Canis lupus familiaris: one gene and its partners. The protein of the gene in region 1 purifies or fractionates together with the protein of each later gene. This does not show direct contact. Links are inferred from orthologs where the notes say so. Each region holds a gene or a part of one and is shown in the gene's direction. Other genes may lie near its edges.

The links.
Region 2: the proteins of RHOU (region 1) and PAK1 purify together in Homo sapiens (co-immunoprecipitation; 5 studies listed by BioGRID and IntAct, with this or other methods). This does not show direct contact. The link is inferred for Canis lupus familiaris from reciprocal best matches to the Homo sapiens genes RHOU and PAK1.
Region 3: the proteins of RHOU (region 1) and NCK2 purify together in Homo sapiens (co-immunoprecipitation; 3 studies listed by BioGRID and IntAct, with this or other methods). This does not show direct contact. The link is inferred for Canis lupus familiaris from reciprocal best matches to the Homo sapiens genes RHOU and NCK2.

What each region holds. Positions count from the first base shown.
Region 1 is NC_049225.1:10,804,845-10,809,003, reverse strand, and holds the start of RHOU (rho-related GTP-binding protein RhoU), read left to right. Parts: upstream 1-1,331; coding exon 1,332-1,593; intron 1,594-3,221; coding exon 3,222-3,280; intron 3,281-4,159. UniProt on the Homo sapiens protein: Binds to and activates protein kinase PAK1. Plays a role in the regulation of cell morphology, cytoskeletal organization and focal adhesion assembly during cell migration. Also stimulates quiescent cells to reenter the cell cycle.
Region 2 is NC_049242.1:21,520,171-21,523,818, forward strand, and holds part of PAK1 (serine/threonine-protein kinase PAK 1), read left to right. Parts: intron 1-860; coding exon 861-998; intron 999-3,648. UniProt on the Homo sapiens protein: Protein kinase involved in intracellular signaling pathways downstream of integrins and receptor-type kinases that plays an important role in cytoskeleton dynamics, in cell adhesion, migration, proliferation, apoptosis, mitosis, and in vesicle-mediated transport processes.
Region 3 is NC_049231.1:38,675,389-38,679,036, reverse strand, and holds part of NCK2 (cytoplasmic protein NCK2), read left to right. Parts: intron 1-2,972; 5' UTR 2,973-2,988; coding exon 2,989-3,214; intron 3,215-3,648. UniProt on the Homo sapiens protein: Adapter protein which associates with tyrosine-phosphorylated growth factor receptors or their cellular substrates. Maintains low levels of EIF2S1 phosphorylation by promoting its dephosphorylation by PP1.

The sequences.
Region 1 (4,159 bases):
CACTGCCACTTTGTGAGCTGGGAACCTGAGCACTTTTTCAGTATCTCTGTGTCTGAGATTTTCTCATCCGTAAAATGGGTTTAAGTGATGTCAAGATGAAAGGAATTAGTTCAGGCAAAGTGTTTACAACAGTGTCTGGCACTGAAAGGCTCAGTATGTATTAGCTATTGCTGTTATTGTTGTTGTAGCATCAGTATTCATGTTAATAGTATGTGCTGCTTCTGAAACCACACTGTGAACCCTGAGGAGCCTCCGTGTCCTGACTAGACCCAGAGAGGCTTCCGTGTTGTCTGAATGGACTGTTTGCTAAATGTAGGAGGAAGGCAGAGAGGAAGAAGTCAGAGGTAAATGGAATTGCCCCCCCCCGCCCCCGTCTCCTCCCTGCCCTGATGCTTTAATGTAGCCAAATTACATTTGAGTAAAATAAAAGAAGAATTTGGGTCTAAAATCAATTTGCCGGTTCATGGCGTACCAAACGAGCATTAACACTGGATCTGGTATCATTTTGCTCCCAAATGATATAAATTATTTTAGGTGGGCTAAATAACGATGGGCTTAGCTAGACTTCAAAAAGTTGCCTTTTAATTCAGTCTCTTGCAAACGTGTCCCCAGGACACCCCCAGGACACCTTGTGGCCAGCAAGGGGCCCCACAGCACCGGCGGCGGCCGAGAAGGGGAGGCGGGAGCCAGGGGAACAGGAGCAAGCCCCGGCTTCCCGGCCGCGGGGGCGCAATGAAGCGGAACCGCTCCGGCCGCTCCGGCGCTGGTGTCGGTCTCGGGCGCGGGTCTCGGGCGCCGGCTCCTCCAGGCGCCGCGCCCCACCACCGGCTTTCGGGGTTTGCCGCCCGTCCGCCAGCCCCGCGGCGGGTGCTGGGACCCGGAGCCCGCGTGGGCGCTCCCCTCCTGCCCGGCGTAGCACCGCCTCCGGCCCGGGTGCAGGGGCCCGGCGCGCAGGCGGGGGGCGCTGTGGCCTCGGCGCGGGGACAGAGCGGCCGGGCCGGATCCGCCTCTTTCCCCTCCCCGCCCGCCCCCCACGCGTCGTGTCGCCGGGAAGCCGGGAGGAGACAGAGCGCGCTCGGGCTCCACGGCGCTCGGCCCGCAGTCCTCCGGCAGCGCCGAGCCGAGCCAGGTGGCGCCGCCCGAGCCGCGAGCCGCGAGCCCCCGGGCCGCCTTTGTCTGGGAGCGTGAGGCCTGGAAGCGCCGCTCTCGGGGGCCGGGCACGCGCCCGCAGCGGTCGCTGACAGCTCTTCCCTCCCGCGGGGCTCCGGGTCGGAGGGGCGGTCGGGCCGGGCCCTGCTCGCCCGCGCCTGCACGCCCGAGCGCGCGCACCGATGCCCCCGCAGCAGGGGGACCCCGCGTTCCCCGGCCGCTGCGAGGCGCCGCCCGTTCCGCCGCGCCGGGAGCGCGGGGCGCGCGGGGGGCGCGGGCCCGGGGCGCCGGGGGGCCGGGGGCGCGCGGGCGGTGCGGAGGGGCGCGGCGTCAAGTGCGTGCTAGTCGGCGACGGCGCGGTGGGCAAGACCAGCCTGGTGGTGAGCTACACCACCAACGGCTACCCCACCGAGTACATCCCCACCGCCTTCGACAACTTCTCGGGTGAGCGGGGCCGGGGGCCGGGGGCGCGGTGCTGGCGGCCCGGTGCCGGCGGGAGGGAGCGTCGCGCGAGGGTCGCGGGCCCCGATGGGAAGCGGACCGGGCCGTGGGGACCCGGCGAGCGCGGAGCCACCTGCAGGACCGCGGGGCAGCCGGGAGCCCCCGAACCCGAGCCCGGCGGAGGGGGCGGGGTACGGGGACCGAGCCTGTGCGAAAAGAAATGATGCGGCAATTTAATAACAAATAGGTCGAGTTCAGGAAGCCTGGTCAGTTTGCTGCGTAGCAAAGTTGCGTCAGGTCGACGCTGCTGGCGCCGCTGCAGAGTTTCACCGGGAAGGTGACGCGCAGGTGCCATTACCTGTGGCCCTGGGAGTCGGTCCTTTCCTTTCGGCGGCTCCGCTCACAAGGGGCGTCTCCACTTTGAAGAGCCACAGAGACGGCAGGAAAGACTTGATTTAGTGAAAACGGCGCTACGGGCTTAGGTTTGGATTAAACCCTGAGAATAAACGCGATTTCTCCAGCGTGCCTCTCCCCTGCGCCCACTGCTCCGACTTCCATCTCCCCCGTTGGCCCTGTTTCTGATTCTTGATATTTTTTTCAGCGTCTCTTTAAGCTCTTACGTATGGTGTGCTGTGTTTTGGTTTGGTGGAAACAAAGATAAAGGATTTTTTTCAGGTCTTTTTGAAATTTATTAGAAAGGACTAGTAAAGGTAAAGTACGAGTCTCCCACAGAGGCTAATGGAAAGCATTCTCTCTTGCTCTTAAAAGAAAAGAAAAAAAAAAAGCTTCTTGACCTTTTAGAGAGTCCTGATGGCAAGCGCTTCATTTCTTCCATCTCGAAGGTACCCTGGAGAAAACTGCTACACTAATGGGGTTCCACCCAAATGGTTCTGTTTTTCACCCCTTTTCCCTTCCAGCTGACTATTGTAAACATGAAAAGCAATTTAGAAAGTTGTACTGAGACAAACCTGAGTGCTTAAATTCAAGTAGAAACATCCAGGCTGTGCCCTGATGCAAGCCCCTGCCCAGTACCCCATCCTAGTGGAAAGGTGGGCAGGCTTTCTCTTCTTTTCTGTTTTAATCCTCTCTTTGAGCTGACATGGTGAGATAAGCAGTGCCCTCTTCTATAAACAGGACAATGCAGGCAGCCTGTGTTTGCTCATGTTCTCAAAACAAGCTACAATTTTATGATAAACCATGAAGTCTTGGAACTCTTCCCAAGGGAAAACAGAATTATTTGTGAGGTTTTCCACTGAGTTAAAACGGCAAGGTTGGTTCCCATTTACCCCCTAGTGTTGTTTTTAGGTTTTTTGAACCGAGTGTGACAGGAAAATAAATCTTCCGGGGCTGGGCTAAAAGTACAGGTCTTTCTGGGGTGCCATCAAACGGCTAAGGGATTTGCAGCTTCAGCCCTGACAGGGTAGGGAATTGCCAGCCCTGGAGGGTTTGTAGACAAAAATGCCTCCTTGGGGCCTCCTTGTTTTAGGCAAGTCTTTAATTCGTGAGGAAACCCAGAATAACTGAAAGGTTTGGAGGGAGAATGGTAGTTCCCAGCTATAACTTTTTTTTTTTTTCTTCCTGAAACGGGTTAAAAGGCACACTTTGATAATTGTTTTCACTTTACTTTTAAGCTGTGGTGTCTGTGGACGGCCGGCCTGTGAGACTCCAGCTCTGTGACACTGCCGGACAGGTTAGTGGATTGGCTGGGAAGGGACTGGCCATTTAGAGGCCTCAGAATAACTACGCTCTATAACTGGGTCATTCTAAAGCCTCATGAAGTGGCCCCAGCCCTGCCCCTCTCAGGGGGTGGCAGTGAGGTGGGGAGATGGCTCTGCCCTCATAAAACAGGGTTTAGTCCAGCTTTGCATGGACAGGATAGGGAACAAAGGATCAAGAATAGGAATTCTTATGGAGTTTCTGATCTTATTTACTTTCTCGTTTTTATTAAAAAATTATCAGTGATGCTTTGTGATCATTTCTTCAAGTAAGTTGGTGATAGAATCATTTTGTTAGAAGTCAACAAGCCAAATATTAAATTTGCTCAAGAGAAAAATGGAGGTTTTTAAAGAGATTTTATTTATTTTAGAGAGAGAGAGAGAAAGAGCGTGGTGGGGGAGGCAGAGGGAGAGAGAGAGAGAGCTTCAAGCTGACTCCATGCTGTGTGTGGAGTCTGACACAGGGCTCGATCCCACGACCCTGAGATCATGACCTGAGCTGAAACCAAGAACCAGACATGCTCAGCCAACTGTACCATCTGGGGGTCCCCCTGAAAAAGATGGAGTTTGTGTCAGTGGGTGTTAATATTTCCCTCCCTATGCTGTGGTTTCCTCACTAGGGCCACCCCGTCCTTTGAAGCAGAGATACAGTGGCGAAGCTGTCCTGAGCTAGGGCAGTGAATGAACCTGGACTTAGTCTTTCCAAATCGTGAACATTTATTCTTGTCTTGGGGGTCAGGCACTTGGATGAGACACCCAGGGAGTGACGGGGATGGGGGTATTCCTCGACGAGCTCCAGGGACCCTTGGCACAGTGCTCATCACTGAGATCTCCTTGTTCTCTGTGAGAACCCA
Region 2 (3,648 bases), on another chromosome or scaffold:
CCCTCTGATTCTACATACCATCTTGCCCCATCTTACAGTGGCCTATTGAAGATGATGATCAGTAGGGTGTGATAGAAATAAAACTGGAATCACATTAGAATCAGAGGACATAAGCTCATATGAATAACTTGGTCCCAGGCATATTTCTTCATGTTTCTGGACTTTATCTGTGAAATGAGGATGATGATTCTTGCCTGGTCTATTATTCATATTTATTGTGGTCTTTAAATGAGATAGTGTTTGTGTAAATACTTTATGAATTAAAGTGCTGAGTGCTTTTTTAAAAAAAAATCACCTGTCTCATAAGATTGTTCATGTTAGGGGACAGGGAGGTAACAGGGAAACATATTGTTGCTTTATGGAACACTTTATTTTTATATTCCTCTCTTATTAGAAGAAAACAGTTCTTAGGTGACTAAGGTGAAGACATCAGGAGTAATTTCCTCCAGCAAGTGGCAGATAGGTGTTTAACTAACCAGGCTAAGTGAATAAGTGAATAATAAATCCTTTAGATCTATAATCAAGAATAATAATAAACCCATGGGTCTGGAACACACTTTATAAGTTTATAAGTGCTTTCCAAAATACTATCTTGTTTTATTTTTACAGACCTGTAAGATAGGTTACTATTCTCATCCCTATTTTACAGATGAGGAATTTGGAAGTTCACTGGCTTGCATGTGGTCACATGGCCTTTTAAATGTTAACTCTGATCCTTAGGTCGTTTTCTTTCCAGTATACCAAAGCTACTCTTTGTGTCCTAAAGGCATAAAGCAGCTGACCATCTTTCTAGAGGACAGGTCTAGGCACTTAAGAACTCCCGCTAGAGCTTAAGGTGATTCTCCCATTTGTATTGCCAGGCCTTGTACCTCATTGCCACCAATGGGACCCCAGAGCTTCAGAACCCAGAGAAGCTGTCAGCTTTCTTCCGGGACTTTCTGAACCGCTGTCTTGAGATGGATGTGGAGAAGAGAGGTTCAGCTAAAGAGCTGCTGCAGGTAATTGTCTCTATGCAGGGAAGCTCCAAATTCAAGAGATCACTAAACCAAGACTTTTTTGCTTCATTTTTGTCTGTAAGGCACTAGTAGGCTTCTTTCCTACACTTCCCACACTCAATTTATATTCCTAGTTCCCTAACTGCCTTTATCTCTGGACCTTTGTTCATATTATTCCCTGAGGCTCTTCCTCAGTCTGTTAAATTCTGTACATGTTCATAGACTTAGCTTAAAAATCTACTTTTTGAGCTCCTGTTGAACTTTGCCTGTAACTTTCATCAGCACTTCTTTTGTTTTGCCTGAATTAGAGTTTTGGGGACCCTGGAGTCGCGGGTTTACCAAGCTTTTTATACTTCCACCTGCTTAGTCCTGAAATTACATAATTATTTCACACGGTTGCAAAAACTGCTTTTAGCAGGCCACCACACAAGTATCACATTCAGCTTTATGATGGTGATTAATCTGTAGGCATGCATAGTTGGTTACTTTATTATGAGGACCAAGAGCAAGTTAGCAAGGCAGGGCATACCTACTGTGTTAAAGTTAGTTACGAATGACTCTGTCTTTCCCACTAGATTATAACTTCTATCTTTTTAATTTCTGGGTCTCCTCTTATACCTAGGACCTTAGAAAAGGTATTCAGAAAATATTTATTGAATTGAATGAAATTACTTAAAAGTATTCACTTTCACTGAAATGCTACCTTCTAGAACATATTTAACATCTCTTTGTAGTCAAGGTTATGGATTTACAGAGCACTGGTCCATTAGATTTGAGATTTGGGCTCTACCAACTGTAACCCATTAGTCTCTAGGATTCTTTGGGACTGAAAATACCTTGTATCAGGCAATACCATGTAGGTTCCCTTTGCCTTCCATATGCGATTTGCTCTGGAAATCCTAGGCATGGGAAAATAATTCAGATAGTACTCTAAGCCTATAATTGGTGAAGATATTGTTAATTAGGTACCAAATTATAATTGAAAGATTAGTGCCCTCTAGAGTTTTCTTCCTGTGACACCTAAGTAACAATAAATGCATTATATTGAATCTTTACCACACTGTAGGCACTGAGTGCTTTATATTTTCATCTGTTCTTTATGACCACCCTGTGATTTATAGGTTCTACTATTCCCATTTTTATAGGTGGGCAAGTGAGGTTTCAAGTGTTTGGTGACTTTTCCATGATTATGTAGCTAATATGCAGTGGACCCAGGGTGTTTTTTGTTTTTTTTTTTTTAAGATTTTATTTATTTATTCATGAGAAGCACAGAGACACAGGCAGAGACACAGGCAGAGGGAGAAGCAGGTTCCATGCAGGGAGCCTGATGTGGGACTCGATCCCGGGATCCAGGATCATGCCCTGGGCCGAAGGCAGACGCTAAACCGTTGGGCCGCCCAGGGATCCCGGACTCAGGGTTTTAACCCATGTCTATTTGGCTCTCAAGTGTATATGCTCTTGGCCACTGCTCTTTTGTCTCAGACAGTGCTAGAACTGAAAGGGCTTTAGGGCTTATCTCTTATACTTTATTATACGGAGTAGGAAACTGAGGCCTCCCAGGTGGATCTTGGATCACGCTGCTTTCTCAACCCAGAGGGAAGTTACAGAAACATGTGATTTGTTAACAATGGCTCTTAAACTTGTTACTGTACATTGTAAATATTCAAAACCATGATTTTGGGTATCTTTTTTGGGGGGGTGGTATCTTAAATCACAAAAGCTTCACATCTGTTTCTCCTGTGGGAACACATGTATGGACAAAAATACCTAGGGTATTGTGTTAGAATTTGTATCTTTACGATTTAGTCAAAATCTTTTACTTGAATCTTTCATATTAATTTCTTGTTTTCAGTGCCTTTTTATATCCTGTCTCTGTCCGAAAAGAACATGAAGCAACTTCCAACAATGAATGTGTATATATACCTATATGTGCCTATATAATATACAATATGATTAATAAAAAGGACTTATAAGAATGGCAGAAGATCAAATACGCTAATCATCTGAGTTAGGTTTGTTTAAACATCAAATTTGGTTCTCAGTTTCCTGGTGACTAGGACAGAAAGGAAATGTGATAGCTTCTATATTTCTTATCAAATGGAAAAACATAACATCCTCAAGACACAAAGCCTTTTTACTACTAAATGTAAGAAAAATCATTTTTAGTTAAGAGGCTCTGAGTTACATAATGAATTGTTTTCCATAACAATTTTGCTGAAAATGTAGATGCAGTTTTCATACAGTGTTTTCTCCAAAATGGTCTTCTTTAATAGTTGGGGGTGTGGCCCAAAGTATAGCCCAGTAAAAGTGATCTGGGAAAGGACCAAGCTATTGAAGGCTTTATTGGATTCAAAGAGAGAATAATAAATCCCTAGATCAGTGCTCCTGAAATGCAGTATTACAATATACCATTGGGTCATGATCAGTCAATACCTTTCCCCAGAGATGATTATTCCAATTATCATCATTTAGTCATACCTAATATAAAACGGAATCATACAAGTATGAAATCTCTCTTGTCTGGCTTCCTTCACTCAACATAATGTCTGTGAGATTCATCCATTGTCAGTGTATCAATTATTCATTCTTTTAGATTGCTGTGTGATTTTCAGTATAGTATTATAAAATACAACATTTCATTCTTTCATTCTCT
Region 3 (3,648 bases), on another chromosome or scaffold:
AGAAGTGGGCACATAAGCATAGATTTGGGAGTCAACAGATCTGGGCCCAAATCCTGATTCTGTCATTCAGCTCGTCGCTTAATCTCTGTGATCCTCAGTTTCCTAAAAGATAACACCTCCCTGAAAGGTGAATGTTCTGGAGATTAAACAGGTTGACATGTTCAGGTACCCAAGACACACTCAAAATTTTCATTATAGTCCAAGGTCTAAGGACCCAAGGAAAGCATCCTGAGGTGGCATTCTGTGACTCAGATCCCCCTTACTTGGTTTTTCCCTCCTAAGGCCTGTCAGAAAGATGAACTGTAAACACCTGCTGCTCAGACCTCACTCCTTAAGATTGTGATATATTTGGTCTGTGGTAGAGCCTAGGCACCATATTTGTTTAAGCTCCCACATGATGTTCCCACATGATGTACTCTGAAGCACACCCTGCCCAGCTAGCTCCTTACCTAACAACTGTTCATGCAGTTAAGTCACGCAGGAAAGTAATAAATTGCTCCGATTGGTCTTATGCGATGGGCTGGTCTTGTTAAAAAGTCTTGAAAACTCTGTAATTAAGAAATAAACCTGGTATTCAAATGGAATATTCTCTGAGCCCCAGTCCTATTACTGCTCTCATTATTATTAAAAAAAGAAAAGAAAAATGGCCTTTATGACTTTGAAAAGTTTAACCCTAACAGAAAAGTCTGGAGAGAGAGAGATACAAGTATGGACTGGAGATCTCCAATAGTATGTAACAAAATGGTCTACAGTTTGAAAATGAGCATTGTATAAACTCTGTCCTCTTAGATGTTGCATACATTATGCATGAGGTTTATTAAATATTTCCTCCTTCCCAAAAGGTTTGTTATCTCTACAGTTGGAAGTTAATTCAAGAAACAGGAGAACATGTATTATTTATAAGTCTCTTTAGCATCTAGTAGAAAGTGTCATGTTATTTAAAAATGGTATTCATGCCTCCATGGCATCAGCGTGCATTGGTTCTCTCTATAATCCTGAAGTCATCCCTAGAAAGTAGTGAGAAATCGTCTCTGTCAGAGAGGAAGAAAGAGGGTGTTAGTCAAGAGTCTTTCCAGTATCCCTTCCTTTCAAGTTTTAAGGAAACTGACTCAGTTGAAGGACTGGATATCGAATTTTTCTGCTGGAAAAAATACTGAGCCATCTTATACCTAAAAAGTATGGAGCTGCTGACGTTGTTGATAACTGTATTCAGTTTAGTCATTCAGATACGCCTTTGCTATATATTACTTCAAAAACTGACTTAACTAGATGTATAATATACTATATTTATTTCTTGTTGTTTTAATAAACTTGATATTTTGGGATGATTTTATATATGGTTCACTCTTGATATTTTATGGGTCTCAACAAATGTGTAATGACGTGTATCCACTATTAAAGTATCATCCAGAGCAGTTTCACTACTTTAAAAATCTTATGCTCCACCTGTTCATCCCACCCTCCTCCCCTGCCCCTGGCAACCACTGATCTTTTTACTGTCTCCATAGTTTTGCTTTTTGCAGAATGTCATATAGTTGGCATTGTTAAAGAAAAAAATTATTCATGACATTGTTTAAAGAAGGGTAAGGCAGACTTAACTGAGAGGCGTGACTACGGTGGGGTTGCATTTGGGCTCAATTCTAAATAGAAGAAGGAAAAATGGGAGTTTATAGCCAAGGAGTAAGGTAGGCCACAGATGAATGCAGTCACTGAGAGCGAACATCGGGTAAAGGAGGGACTCTGACTAAACTGACCTGACGGGATCCTCCCGGAAGGCAGGCCAGGCGACTGGGCACATGGCCTGGGCAAGAGCGGAGGGTTCTGGCTAAACCAGCCCAGCAGGGTTCCTGCTAAAATTGGGACACGCAGAGACAAATGTGGAAGTACAGGTGTTGAGGCCTAGTCTGGGAAGAGGATTTAAGTAAGGTTTCTCCATCCCTTTTTCTGGCTTGATAGCTCATTTCCTTTTTATCACTGAGTAATAAATACTCCAGTACCTGGATATACCACAGTTTATCCATTCACCCCCTGAAGAACATCTTGATCACTTCCAAATTGTTCCAAGTGTGAATGAAGCTGTTTTAAACACTGTGCAGGATTCAAGAGTAATTCTATTTTATTTTTTTTAAAGATTTTATTTATTTGGGAGAGAGAGAGAAGGAGCAGGGAAAGGGGCAGATGGAGAGGGAGAAGCAGACTCCCCACTGAGCAGGGAGCCCAATGTGGGGCTCGATCCCAGGACCCTGAGATCATGACCTGAGCTGAAAGCAGATGCTTAACCAAGACTGAACCATCCAGGCGCCCCTCAAGAGTAATTTTATATGTATAGAAAAGTTGCAAAGATAGTACAGAGCATTCCCATATCTCCTTTACTCAGTTTAACCTGTGGTGTTAACGTGTCACACGGCCATGGTACTGTTGTCAAAACTAAGAGTTGAACCTTGGTATATGTTACTGTTAACTAGCCATTATTCAGATTTCACCATTGCTTCCGCTAATTTCCTTTTTCTGTTTCAGGAGCTGATCCGGGATACTAGATTTATTTTAGTTTTAATTTAGAAGAACAGTTTGGGTGTGTGTGTTCGTTAAATGCGTTCATAAAACTCAGCATATCTTGAGACGGTGGATACAAACATAGCAGCTACAAGGAGCTGCTGTTACTTAATCAAGTGAACACATTTAATTATGACATTGTTACTTAGAATTTTTTTGAAAGTTTGTTTCTGGTTTTGGCACAGCATGCAGATTTCCCAGTGTACAAAATGAGGATCTGTTTTACTAGGTTGCTGTTTCTAAACAAAATGCTAAAGCTTGTTGAAAGAAGGTCATTTTGAGGTTATTTCAAGACCCAAGAGGAAAACCGGTTGCCAAGTTGTAATAAAAGCTGTCAATGCATAATTTTTCAAGTTGATGCACAGGATGAAGTGTTTGGTTGGTTCTCTAATGAGCATCTCCAAATGTTTTGCTGGCAGAAGGACTCCATGAAAGATGACAGAGGAAGTTATTGTGATAGCAAAGTGGGACTACACTGCCCAACAGGACCAGGAGCTGGACATCAAGAAAAACGAGCGCCTATGGCTACTGGATGACTCCAAGACGTGGTGGCGGGTGAGGAACGCGGCCAACAGGACGGGCTACGTGCCGTCCAACTATGTGGAGAGGAAGAACAGCCTGAAGAAAGGCTCCCTCGTGAAGAATCTGAAGGACACACTAGGTGAGTGTGCCCCTGCCCTCGGACCCAGGTTAGAGCTGAACCACTTCCTGTTATGAAGGCGAGGAAGCCTTGTGTTTTTGGAGGGGCAAGTGTTCATCTTTTTAGTTCGTGTGTGTGTGTGTGTGTGTGTGTGTGTGTGTGTCTTTTTTTTTTTTTTTTTTTTTAAGGTCTGTTCTACGTTGCCATCTTTCTAGTTGTCTTTTTATTTTTGATCTCTGGAAATGAAGAGACCAAGATGGAGAAATACCATGCTTGTCATTTCCTAGAGATCTTAAGAGTCTAGAGTCTTATGTAAGTTGATACTTCTGCATGTTGGGGATCCCTGCCCATGTTTTCTGTCTCCTGGCATCAGTAGTCTGTTCCCAAAGGGGAGTCACCACGTCCAAAAGTGTCTGCCGCACGGCCTGCATCACCCTCCTCCCTGCCCAGGCCTT